Sus scrofa: one gene and its partners. The protein of the gene in region 1 binds, or shares a complex with, the protein of each later gene. Links are inferred from orthologs where the notes say so. Each region holds a gene or a part of one and is shown in the gene's direction. Other genes may lie near its edges.

Region 1 (3,644 bases):
GCCTTGTTTCCTGCCAGACCCCAGATAGGGCCCCAGGTCCCTGAACCCAACTGCACCTCTTCTCTGTGGATGACCCCCCGGAGCAGGGTGGGGTGCCTGCTGCGTGAAGAGCTCATTAAGACCTGTTTAAGCTTGATGATAACAAGGCCTTCTGTGGATTTTTCTTTTTAAGTGACCAAGCAAGTGCAGAAAAAACCACCCCCTGCAGGGGCAATAACTGAGAGAGGTAATTCTGAGCCTGCTTCGCCCAGGGGGGCTCACCCCTTTTTGCTCCTGTGGCTGTTGGTTGGCTTAGATTTTTTAGAGCCGGGAGGATCTGCTTCTGAAACATAGGTCTCACGCATGGAGCCTGAGGTTGGAACAGCGAGAATTCCTGCTCCTCTTTTTGTGTGGTTTGTGTGGATGGGCCTTTCTAACCCTGCGTGCTCTCACTCACTTCAGCCGAGGGCTGTGGGTGGGGCAGGGGAGTGAGTGTCTCCTGCTGCTTGTGGGCGCTGGAGGTTTGGACTGTTCTAGCCAGGTTAGGTGTGACATCCCCACTGGCATCTATGACACATGCACCATGGCACTGGGCACTACCCCGTTCCTACATCCGGTCTGTAAAACCCAGCCTGAGGGGTCCGCTGCCCTCCTTTTCAGATGAGGGCAGGCTTAGGGAGGCTGCGTGACTTCACCCAAGGTCGCTCTGCAATTCAGTGGTGCAGCACAGATTGGAAGCCACCGCCGGGTCCACCGGCCGCCTGTGTGCTTGGGTGACAGTGGCGGAGGTGCTGAGCCTGAAAGCTTCCCCAGGCCTGTTGCCACAGAGCTTTACACCTTGAAGGATTTCCAAAAGACATGGAGATTCAAACTCTAAAAACCGTGCGCTCATTCTCCCTTTTGACAAGAACTTAGCCTTTCGCTGCTTCCAACAAAGAGCCGTCCTTCTCCAGCTCGGGGCCAGGCAGTTCCCTGTTCAGTAGGGATGGTCCCTGGAGCAGGGGCGTCACTGTGGAAAGCTGGGAGCCAGCCACCAAACTCAGAGCGAGAGGGGACCTGGACCGTCCTGGGCAGAGTCTCCAGCCCAGACTCTGCTCAGGAATCCCTGGGCGGGGGGAAGCACCAGTGTTGGAGGACCCCACCCTCTGGGGTCTAAATGGGGCCCTGGGAATCTGCATCTTTACAGGCCCCCACTCTTGTGCGACAGCTCCAGAGATTCTGATGCAGGGCTGCCTGGGCCACAGTTGTGGAAATACAGATTCAAGAGGCAGACGGGGGAGCAAGCTATTGAAGGGAGATGGGGATGAGGAGAGGAGAAAGAGGTGCTGTCAGGGAGCCCGGGGCTGGGTCTGCTGGCAGAGAGGGGGTCCAGCGCCTTCTTTGAAGGTTGGTGCCCATGTTGTGTCTGGAAAGGTGCATTGCTATTTGTCGTGCATTGGTGTGTGGGGGCGGGGAGGTGTCCTTGGGGTGGGCAGGCAGCATGAAGCGGCATGGCTTGTTTAGAAAGCCAGGGACAGAGGGACACAAAACAGGCATTCTGTCCTGGAGCCCAGGTACCACAGAGGATTTGGGAGGTCCAGCAGGGGTCTGAGGGAAAAGGGCACTTGAACTTGCTGAACAGCTTAGAATTCACTCTGTGGTTAAAGAGCCCAGAGGGTGGTGGGCAGCCAGTCACTGCATCACCCTTATTCCTGGCAAAGACCATGTATCCCCACCTGGCCTCGCTCACCATTACAGTTAGTTCCACCTTCAAGTTGTATTCCCAGAGCTTAGAGAGGGGAAGTGACTTGTCTGAAACCACACAGCTAGTTGGAGGTTCTCCTGACCCCAGGGCCATGGAGCAGGGTTGATCCCCCTCTGGGATCAACCACTCTGTTGCTTCCCAGGAAGCGGAATTTCTCCGTCCCAGAGCAGCAAGGCTGCGCAGAGGAGACATTTCCCTAGAAATGGGATCAAGGGCCGCCTCCTGGTGATTTGACAGAGCTTCCAACCTTGTTCCCGCCTGGCTGATCCAGCCCTGAGTCTGGGAAAGGACCTGAGACAGATAGTCCTTCTCTAACTTTCCAGGTGAATCTGGGAAGTCTGGAGATCGCAGTGGCTACAGCAGCCCCGGCTCCCCAGGCACCCCGGGCAGCCGCTCCCGCACGCCATCCTTGCCAACCCCGCCCACCCGGGAGCCCAAGAAAGTGGCAGTGGTCCGCACTCCACCCAAGTCGCCGTCTGCAGCCAAGAGCCGCCTGCAGACTGCCCCCGGGCCCATGCCAGACCTGAAGAACGTCAGGTCCAAGATCGGCTCCACCGAAAACCTGAAACACCAGCCGGGAGGCGGGAAGGTAGGTGTTGCGGAGGCGCAATGGGAGGCCGCTGTGCGAGCAGCAGCGGCTGGGGCGCGAGGAGAGGGCGTGCGGGCGGGGAGGCGGGCGAGGGGCTCTGCTGCTGCCCCCATGGCGCAGTCCGCTCCCCGACCTCTTCCGCGAAGGCAGTCGGGTTGTGTTCAGTTCTTTATTGGCGTCACCACCAGGCCAAGAGCCCCCTGCCCTGGAAGAGGAAACACTGTTTCTTACCTTGCGCACTCCAGACCCCCCCCCCCCCATCAGAGATTACAGGGTTGTAGCTCCATAACCCGGGAGTTCTCAAAGTGGGGTGTCCAGAGGGGCTCCCCAGCTGCCTTGTGTTTTGGACATGACACAACCAGTCTGCAGGTGAGTACGTCTGGCATTTGTTCGACATTTATTTAGGTCCCTGTTCTGGGGAAATGGGTGATTCTTCCAGGGTCAAGTGGGCGCTCAGGATATCTTTGGGTCTCCTAAAGGTGGAGAAAATGAGCTTCCGAAGGCAGGAGCTGGAGGGAGCTGGGGTTGGCCTCGACCGGGGTCCACCATTGTATGAGTTTCCCAGGGTTGGTGTACAAAATACCACAGGCTGGGTGGCTTATGCAGCAGAAGTGTGATTCCTCATGGTTCTGGAGGCCAGAAGCCCAAGGTCAAATCAAGGTTGGTTTCTTCTGAGGCTTCTCTTACTGGCTCATAGATGCTGCCTTCTCCCCATGTCCTCACATGGTCTTTCTCAGGGTGTCACTATGTCCTAATCTCCCCTTCTTACAAGGACTCCAGTTATATTGGAGCAGGGCTCACCCTAATGAGCTCATTTTAACTTAATGACCTCTGTAAGACCCTCTTCCAAATTATAGTTCTGTCTGGAGGTCCTGGGAGTTGGGATTTCAGCCTGCAAATTTGGGGAGACACAGTAACAGCCCTCCCACCCAGCACCAGGGAGGGGAACAGAGAAGGGAGAAGAGGGGTTTGGGGAGCAGAGGACCAAGACTCTGCTCTTGGGTTGGGCCTTCCAGACTGGGCCGTTTTCAGGGCAGGGAGCCTCCTGGTGGGCAGGGAAAGCTTTACAGAAGCCCAAGCCAATGTATCCCTTTCAGCCGGGAGCCCCAGCAGGGACCTCCGCACTCCAGATCTTATTATTCCCTCTCGGCTGGGGCCCTGGTGTCTAGGAGGGAGGGTGTCTCATAGTCCGTCCGTGGCATTTGGTCCATGTTGGTGCCTCACCTGAAATGCTGAGCTTTTCTCCTCGTGGAACCTCAGGGCCACCTGCTGGCCTTTTCCATCTTTGGGGCCCGAAGGTTCCTGCCCAGGGGAGGCCTGGCTGCCTCTCTG
Region 2 (3,644 bases), on another chromosome or scaffold:
GAGAGAGGGCAATTTTAAGTATTGCTGTCTAAAGCATTCTGCTTTTAAGCCACAAATTTATGAGTCGCTTGCATTCAAAAATTGTTATTATTGGCAATGACTGGGTATTAAAGTTTTAAAACTTTTGCTATAGTATGCTCTTAATAAATGCAGATTCTTTCAGTTTTTGTAAATATTTTAGTCTTAATTATGACTCTCTTTCTTTTCTTCTCAAGTCTCTTTTGGAAAAGTTCTTGATCCCCAATGCTTCACAAGCAGAGAGCAAAGTCTTCTATTTGAAAATGAAAGGAGACTACTACCGTTACTTGGCTGAGGTTGCTGCTGGTGATGATAAGAAGGGTATGCTGCCTTGACCTTTTTGCTGCAAGTTTATAAAATAACAGTTAAATGAAGAGAAGTAGTGGACTTTTTCCTTTTTTTAAAAAATAAAGTCCTGGAGTTTCCATTGTGGCTCAGGGGTTAACGAATTCGACTAGGAACCATGAGGTTGTGGGTTCGATCTCTGGCCTTGCTCAGTGGGTTAAGGATCCGGCATTGCTGTGAGCTATGGTGTAGATTGCAGATGCGGCTCCGATCCCGCATTGCTGTGGCTCTGGCGTAGGCTGGCGGCTATAGCTTCCATTAGACCCCTAGCCTGGGAACCTCCATATGCCTCGGGAGCAGCCCTAGAAAAGGCAAAAAGACAAAAAAATAAAAGAAGTCCTGAGGCTATACAGTTAACCTTTGAGCAACATAAGTTTGAGCTACACAGGGACTTTTTTTCCCCATAAATACTATAGTACTACACAAATCAAGATTGGTTGAATCCTATATATGATGAGCCAACTTCTTTTTTTTTTTTTTTTTGTCTTTTTGCCTTTTCTTGGGCCACTCCCGCGGCATATGGAGGTTCCCAGGCTAGGAGGGGTCTAATCGGAGCTGTAGCCACCAGCCTATGCCAGAGCCACAGCAACGCAGGATCCGAGCCGCGTCTGTGACCTACACCACAGCTCACGGCAAGGCCTGATTGTTAACCCACTGAGGAAGGGCAGGCATCGAACCCCCAACCTCATGGGTTCCTAGTTGGATTCGTTAACCACTGCGCCACGACGGGAACTCCCCGACTTTTAAATTATACTCAAGAGTTCCCGTCATGGCTCAGTGGTTAACAAACCCAACTAGTATCCATGAGAGGGCAGGTTCAATCCCTGGCCTTGCTCAACTAGTATCCTTGCCCAACTAGTATCCATGAGAGGGCAGGTTCAATCCCTGGCCTTGCTCAGTTGGGTTTAGGATCCGGAGTTGCTGCGACTGTGGTATAGGCCAGCAGCTAAGGCTCTGATTTGACCCCTAGCCTGGGAACCTCCATATGCCTCCGGTGTGGCCCTAAAAAAAGAGGACCCCCCCCCCAAAAAATATACTCAGATTCTCAACTGCATGTGGAGAGTCTAAACTGCCTTGTTCAAGGGTCAACTGTGTATTTACTGCCTGATAATTGGTATTGTAAAATGTATGCTCACTGACAAGCCAATTTTATGTATAGGAATGTTTCCTCACAATTTTAAGAAGCAGTAGTTACAGTGTAACTGTAGGGCAGCACAAACTAATTATTAAAGATAATACTGAGATAATTACAGAGATGTTGCCCTAACGTTGGTCATTGGCTAGTGCGTATTCCAGGAGAAGCTTATTTTTTTAAATTTATTTCAAAATTTATCATTGGACAGTAAAGGTTTAGTTTGAGGAGTGAAGGTGCAGTGCAAACTTTTATCGATATGTTTTGGTGTGTTTTATCATCCAGGGATTGTGGATCAGTCACAGCAAGCATACCAGGAAGCTTTTGAAATCAGCAAAAAGGAAATGCAACCAACACATCCTATCAGATTGGGTCTGGCCCTTAACTTCTCTGTGTTCTATTATGAGATTCTGAACTCCCCAGAGAAAGCCTGCTCTCTTGCAAAGACAGTATGTATTTTTTACATGTTACATGGAAATTCAGTAATCACTAGTATTTGAGCACTGAAATGTATTTTATTTTAATCATAGGCATTTGATGAAGCCATTGCTGAACTTGATACATTAAGTGAAGAGTCATACAAAGACAGCACGCTAATAATGCAATTACTGAGAGACAACTTGACAGTAAGTACATAACAGTATCATTAATGGTTGATGTAGTTGAAGAGATTACAGGCAAATCTGTTTTACTGCACTTCACAGATGCTGTAATTTTTACAAATTGAAGGTGTGTGGCAAACCTGCGTTGAGCAAGTCTATGGGTGCCATTTTCTCAAAAGCATTTGTTCACTTCTTGTCTCTGTAATTTTTTTTGGTAATTTATCAATAAAGTTACTTAATAAAGTATGTACCTTGTTTTTTTTAAGACAAGTGTAAGATCTACCTGTTGTTAAAACTGTTAAAACTGTGAAGAAAACCACCTTACAGAAACCAGTATTAGACTGAGGACTAAAAATGTGCCTTTTCATTAATTATATACCCATTGTTAAAATTTTGGGTTTTGTTTGTTTGTTTGTTTGTTTTGTTTTTCTCATTTTAGGGCTGCAGCCACGGCATGTGAAAGTTCCTGGGCTAGGGGTTGAATTGGAGCTGCTGCTGTGGGCCTACACCACAGCCACAGCAACTCGGGATACAAGCTGAATTGGAGCTGTATCTGTGACCTACACCACAGCTTGCTTGCAGCAACACTGGATACTTAACCCACTGAGGGAAGCCAAGACTCGAACCTGTGTCCCAGGGACACTGTGTTGGATTCTTAACCCACTGAACCACAATGGGAACTCCCAAAATTTTGTTTTTAAAATAATTTTTTAATTCAAGATTTTGAACTTTCAATCACATAGTTCATTTTATTTTTCATTTCAATATATTGATTCTGTTTTTTCCATGTAGTCACAGGAGAGTTTAGCTTTTAAGTGTCAAGTATCTGCCCTGTGCTGGGTAAAGAGCTAGGAACGATTATAGTCTAGTGCTACTGATTTTTGTTAGCTTGAGGGCCATTTCTCTTGGAGATTGTACATCATCATTTTATATATTTCACTTTTTTCCAGCTTTATTTTATCTAATCCATCACCAATTTTCTGAACCAGTTACACATTCTAGTGTTGAATGTTATCAGCAGTTTTTTGAATGGTATTGTGTACTTGTTTGTTATTAAACACTGAAATAATTTCTTAAAAGAATGAATCTTATATATATCAAATGGAAGACGCATTTTGTTAGCTAATTTTAATATTAATAATTTTTCATATTTTTCTGTTTTGAAATGATGTTGTAAAAGGTATAACTTGAGACCTAGTCCCTTCTGAATTGTTTTGACACCACTTTTTGAGAAAGCTTGATCTGAAATAGATATTTTCAGCTGAATTTTATCAGTATGGCATAGCATACAACAGCTGAGTAAGAAAACCAAGGTTCAGATTCTGATTCTGTCACCATTTACTATGTAATCTTCTCTGAGCTTTGGTTGTATTGTCTGTTATCATTATAGGTTGACTGGATCGTTTCATCTGTCAAGTAAAGAAATTTTGTTAAAACTGTCTACTATTTTGAGTCTGGATCCGGTTGACCAGTATTAACACACAACCTTAGGAATAGAAAGATCTTTTGTCAGAATTTTCATGTTTATATGGTGAATTGAAAGATCC
Region 3 (4,218 bases), on another chromosome or scaffold:
AATTTTTTTAGAAATCATGTCAGGCTCCCATCCAAGCAGGATATTTTCTGAGGGAGTTGGCCGATCAGAAGAAGATTTGGGTGCTGTGAACTACGGGAGGGGGCAAAAGCTTGTCTCTTAGTCAGTGTTTAGGCTGCTGTTGCCTGTACATACTCACTGTGTATGTACCTTGGACAGGCCATCTAGTCTTGGGGATCCTGTGGCTGTATCCACACCCCCAGCTGCTGGAGGATGCAGCAAGGGGGTGCTTATACAGGGCTGGGCCTGACTCCCCAGGTGTAAATGGTGCCCTCGCCAGAGTCCCTGGAGGTGGACAGGTACACTGGGGGCCACTGTGCACTCAGGATTCCCTGGCTGGCGTTACCGAGGTCTGGACAGAGGAGCGAGGAAGAGGCCATCTTGTTGCTGCCCCGGTGAGGCTGAGAGAGAACCAGAATCCAGGGAGAAGAGGAGGTCGGGGAGGGATATCCCAGTGACAGCCTGTTCAGCCCAGAGTCACTCAGATCATAGTCACTCGAAGATGCCTCTGGCTTAGGGGGACCACCTGGGAGCCCCAGAGGGGTGGTCCGAGCACACTGGCACATTATAGCAGAAGCCACTGCAGCATGCAGTCCGTAGAGGTTGGGGCTTTTGTGTTGCATCAGAGAGCCTGTCTGACAGGCAGCATGTCAAGGTGACGGCCAGTGCAGACCAGGAGGACCAGGGATGGGTGGATGGGAGAGTAGGGACAGCCTCATCACTGGCTGGCAGCCCACACAGAAGGGAGAACAGAATGGCAACAGCAAGTGTGCTTTGTCAAGGTGTCTCTCTGTGCCGAGCACTGTGCTGTGTGTCAGTGCATTATCTGCTGGCAGATGACTAACATTTGAGGCTCAGAGGTAGAGGGGTGGTCAGGACAGTATGAGCGTGGCCAAGATACAGGGAAGGTGGGGGTTATAGGGACAGCCATGGAACCAGCCAGGCAAAGCAGATGCTGGGACAGGCGGTTGCAGCCTTGATGTGCAGCGAGATGGGGTTGGGGTGGCAGGGTGATAGGGAGTGCTGTCCTGGTCGTCTGGGGCAGATAGATGGATGACAAGTGACATTGAGGTCAGACCGTGAAGTTTGCACCAGGCTAGCGTTGGGCTCGCTGCTGCCCCCTGGCGCCCTCTACTGGGAGTCCTTCATCTTTTCCTCCCCTCACAGAGCCCAGCCTCCCTGTCCCTCCAGGGAGCATCGGTCCCCAGTGGGGACAGTCCGGGCCACATACGGTGGGTGAATGTGGTACACTGCCAACACACCCTGTCAGGGCAGCTGGAGGAAGAGTCTTGTCAGCCGCCCCTAGGGCGTACTCCGTGGAACAATGCACGTCCCTTTCCGAGCCCCAGCCTGGCAGCCTCTGGGTCCCCTGGCAATGCCCTGGTGAGCGGCCCTGGCCTTTCTCACACTTTGGACAGAAGGGACAGCTGAGACCCATGGGCCCAGGACCTGGCCGTCTCCTATGGCAGAACTGGGCACGTGCCTTGGCCTTCTTGCCTTTCTCCTAGAAGCCTCTAGAAAACTTTCCTACCACTGCCTTGAGGCCCCTGGGGGGACCCTTTTTAACATCTGTCCTGTATCCTGCTATCCTCCCTAACACGACCCGGAGGAAGATTTTCTCTCATAGCGTGTGTGTCGAGAGAAGGGGCAGGAAGAGCTATGCTCTTCACGGAGCATTCATGTGTGCGCGCATGCGTACTCGTGTTCATACAGGCGCCCATTATGGGGAGACTCATGCATTGAATGGGGTGTGAGACCAGCTGGCTGTTGAGGTCACCATAGGGTCGCGGTGTGCATGCACATGAAAAGCCCCACATCGTGGGTGCCTGCGACTCCAGGTGTGACTGCGCATGCGCACAGGGAGTGCCTTGCCGCCCTCCCTGGAGCTCCCCCCGCCCCGCCCCGCCACTGACGTGGAGGTCTCCCGGTGTGTCCTGCAGGCTATATCCAGAAGATTAAGTCGGGAGAGGAGGACTTTGAATCTCTGGCCTCACAGTTCAGCGACTGCAACTCCGCCAAGGCCAGGGGAGACCTGGGTGCCTTCAGCAGAGGTGCGCGAGGAATGGGCACCACCAAACCCTGGCGGGAACCCCTAACCCACCAGCGCCTGCCCCCCACCTAGAGATAGGGTGGGCTGGCCCCTGTCGCGCAGGCCTCTAGGGTCCACCAGGTGGCAGCACTGTTCCTCCTCGAGCTTCATAGGCTCCCCTGTTGGAGTGGCGGCCGCAGAGCCCTCTCCCAATGACCTTCTTTCTTAGGGTGGGGAGGCGGTCTGTGTGTCTCTCTGCTCACTTGGCCCCATCACAGGCCCACCAGGGTGGGTGCTTGCTGACATTTTCCTATTCTCCCATTGGAGATGTCAGGCTGGGGCCCTTGGAGGCCCAGAATCCCTTGCCTCCCCTGGTGGGTGGGAACAACAGGGTGAGGGGAGGAGGGAGGTCAGGTGAGCAACCGCTGAGTTCCGGCCTCTGCAGCTGAGACTGTGGAAAGCGAGGAGCAGAGGGAACCAGGCCACCGCCTCCTTCCCCCTCCATCCCCAGGGTCATCAGGGGCCCAGAATGGGGTGAGGGGTGTCAGGGAGCCAGCAAGGGGCTGCGGACCACCCCAGGAGGCAGGTAGGACAAGTGATGTGGCAGTGGCTGGGAACCGGGCCCAGGGAGATCAGTTCATTACTAAAAAGTATCTCTTCAGTGGACGGTAGAGGCTGCAGCTCTGCCTGCCATCCCTCACACTGTCCTCCGGCTTCCTGGGGCCTCCTTAATAGCCCTGCCGCCCCCAGCTGGGCCGCAGCTTGGCCCCTTGACAGGGCCATAAACCTGTGACAGATGAGTCTGAATGAGGGCCAGGGGCGGGCATGTGGGCGCCCCATCTGCTGGCTCTGCCCGGTCCTGGCCCCAGGCCCGGGTCTTGACCCCCCCGCACACACCAGCCTTCATACTTCCCCAGGTCAGATGCAGAAGCCATTTGAAGACGCCTCCTTTGCTCTGCGGACAGGGGAGATGAGCGGGCCCGTGTTCACGGATTCCGGCATCCACATCATCCTGCGCACGGAGTGAGGGGTGTGGACAGCTCAGGCCTGGCCTCCCGGTGTGGGGTGGGGCGGGACGGGGTGGCTGGGCCCACAGACCCTGCTCCCTGCTGCCAGCCGACCTGTGGGTCCCCCTGCCTGCTAACGTCACACAGTATTTATTGATCCCAACATGGCTGGAAGGGGGGCTCTTCACCATCGGGGTCTCCCTGCCAGACTCCCCTCCCTTTTAGGAATTGACTTCAGAAGGGCCTGGGGTGGAGAGGCCCTCCAGGCTCCCAGACCCAGCAGGTGGGGGTGACCTGTCCCAAAGAGAAGGCCTAGTTAGCCGAGCCACCCCCTGTGTTCCCCCAGGTCCAGGAAGGGGGTGGGGGGGCGTGCGGGCAGGAGGGCCTTAAGTTGTTTCTGGTTATGCCATGTTCCTCTTTTCAATTGCAAAAAGCAGATGCTCCGCTTGGGGCCCAGGCTGCCTGCTGCTTCGGGGCTCTCTCTACACAGCAGTGCAGCGCCCTCTCCACCCTCAATTAAACCTGGAACCACTATTCCACTGTCCCGTGTCTCATTTCCTCCCTGCTGAGGTGGGTGGGACACTGTTGGGGAAGTGATCATTTCCTGCCATCCTTGTGTCCAAGTGTCCAGGCTGCACTTTCCTCCCTCAGAAGCCTCTCCTCATCCTGGGCTTGGGGGCATCCTAGCAGCAGCCAGACTCTCGGAAGTAGAGCACTGATGAGTATCAGAAGTCCTCAAACTTGGGTGGTCAAGAATATTCTAGAGGAGTTCCCGCTGTGGTGCAACAGGATTAGCGGCCTCTCTGGAGCACTGGGGCGCACGTTCGATTCCCCAGCCTGGCACAGTGGGTTAAGGATCCAGCCTTGCTACAGATGCTGCATAGGTTATAACTGTGGTTCAGATCAGATCCCTGGCCCAGGAACTTCATATGCCTTGGGTGGCCAAAAAAAAAAAAAGAATATTCTGGAATGCAAGGGCCCTGACCGCACAGCTCTGGATTCATCAGAGCCAATCTCGGTGCTCTGGGCATCTCCACCACCACCACCACTCTGTACCCATGCACACATGCACGCACACTCGCACCACTTCAACTAGACCAAATTAGCCCAGCACCCTGATGCCTGCTTCCCTGTCACCATAAGTGCTCCCGGCAGGTTGTGCCT

The links.
Region 2: the proteins of MAPT (region 1) and YWHAZ are in contact, whole or in part, in a crystal structure (PDB 8QDV), measured with the Homo sapiens proteins. The link is inferred for Sus scrofa from reciprocal best matches to the Homo sapiens genes MAPT and YWHAZ. Residues at the interface, in NP_058519.3 of Homo sapiens: Ser637, Cys639, Gly640, Ser641, Leu642, Asn644, Ile645, His646, His647; in NP_001129171.1 of Homo sapiens: Glu14, Leu43, Ser45, Val46, Lys49, Arg56, Arg60, Lys120, Arg127, Tyr128, Glu131, Gly169, Leu172, Asn173, Val176, Glu180, Ile217, Leu220, Asn224.
Region 3: the proteins of MAPT (region 1) and PIN1 are in contact, whole or in part, in an NMR structure (PDB 1I8H), measured with the Homo sapiens proteins. The link is inferred for Sus scrofa from reciprocal best matches to the Homo sapiens genes MAPT and PIN1. Residues at the interface, in NP_058519.3 of Homo sapiens: Val546, Arg547, Thr548, Pro549, Pro550, Lys551, Ser552, Pro553; in NP_006212.1 of Homo sapiens: Arg17, Val22, Ser32, Gln33, Trp34.

What each region holds. Positions count from the first base shown.
Region 1 is NC_010454.4:17,120,835-17,124,478, reverse strand, and holds part of MAPT (microtubule-associated protein tau), read left to right. Parts: intron 1-172; coding exon 173-226; intron 227-2,046; coding exon 2,047-2,312; intron 2,313-3,644. UniProt on the Homo sapiens protein: Promotes microtubule assembly and stability, and might be involved in the establishment and maintenance of neuronal polarity.
Region 2 is NC_010446.5:36,002,986-36,006,629, forward strand, and holds part of YWHAZ (14-3-3 protein zeta/delta), read left to right. Parts: intron 1-215; coding exon 216-339; intron 340-1,780; coding exon 1,781-1,944; intron 1,945-2,025; coding exon 2,026-2,121; intron 2,122-3,644.
Region 3 is NC_010444.4:68,725,884-68,730,101, forward strand, and holds the end of PIN1 (peptidyl-prolyl cis-trans isomerase NIMA-interacting 1), read left to right. Parts: intron 1-1,958; coding exon 1,959-2,069; intron 2,070-2,964; coding exon 2,965-3,074; 3' UTR 3,075-3,588; downstream 3,589-4,218. UniProt on the Homo sapiens protein: Peptidyl-prolyl cis/trans isomerase (PPIase) that binds to and isomerizes specific phosphorylated Ser/Thr-Pro (pSer/Thr-Pro) motifs.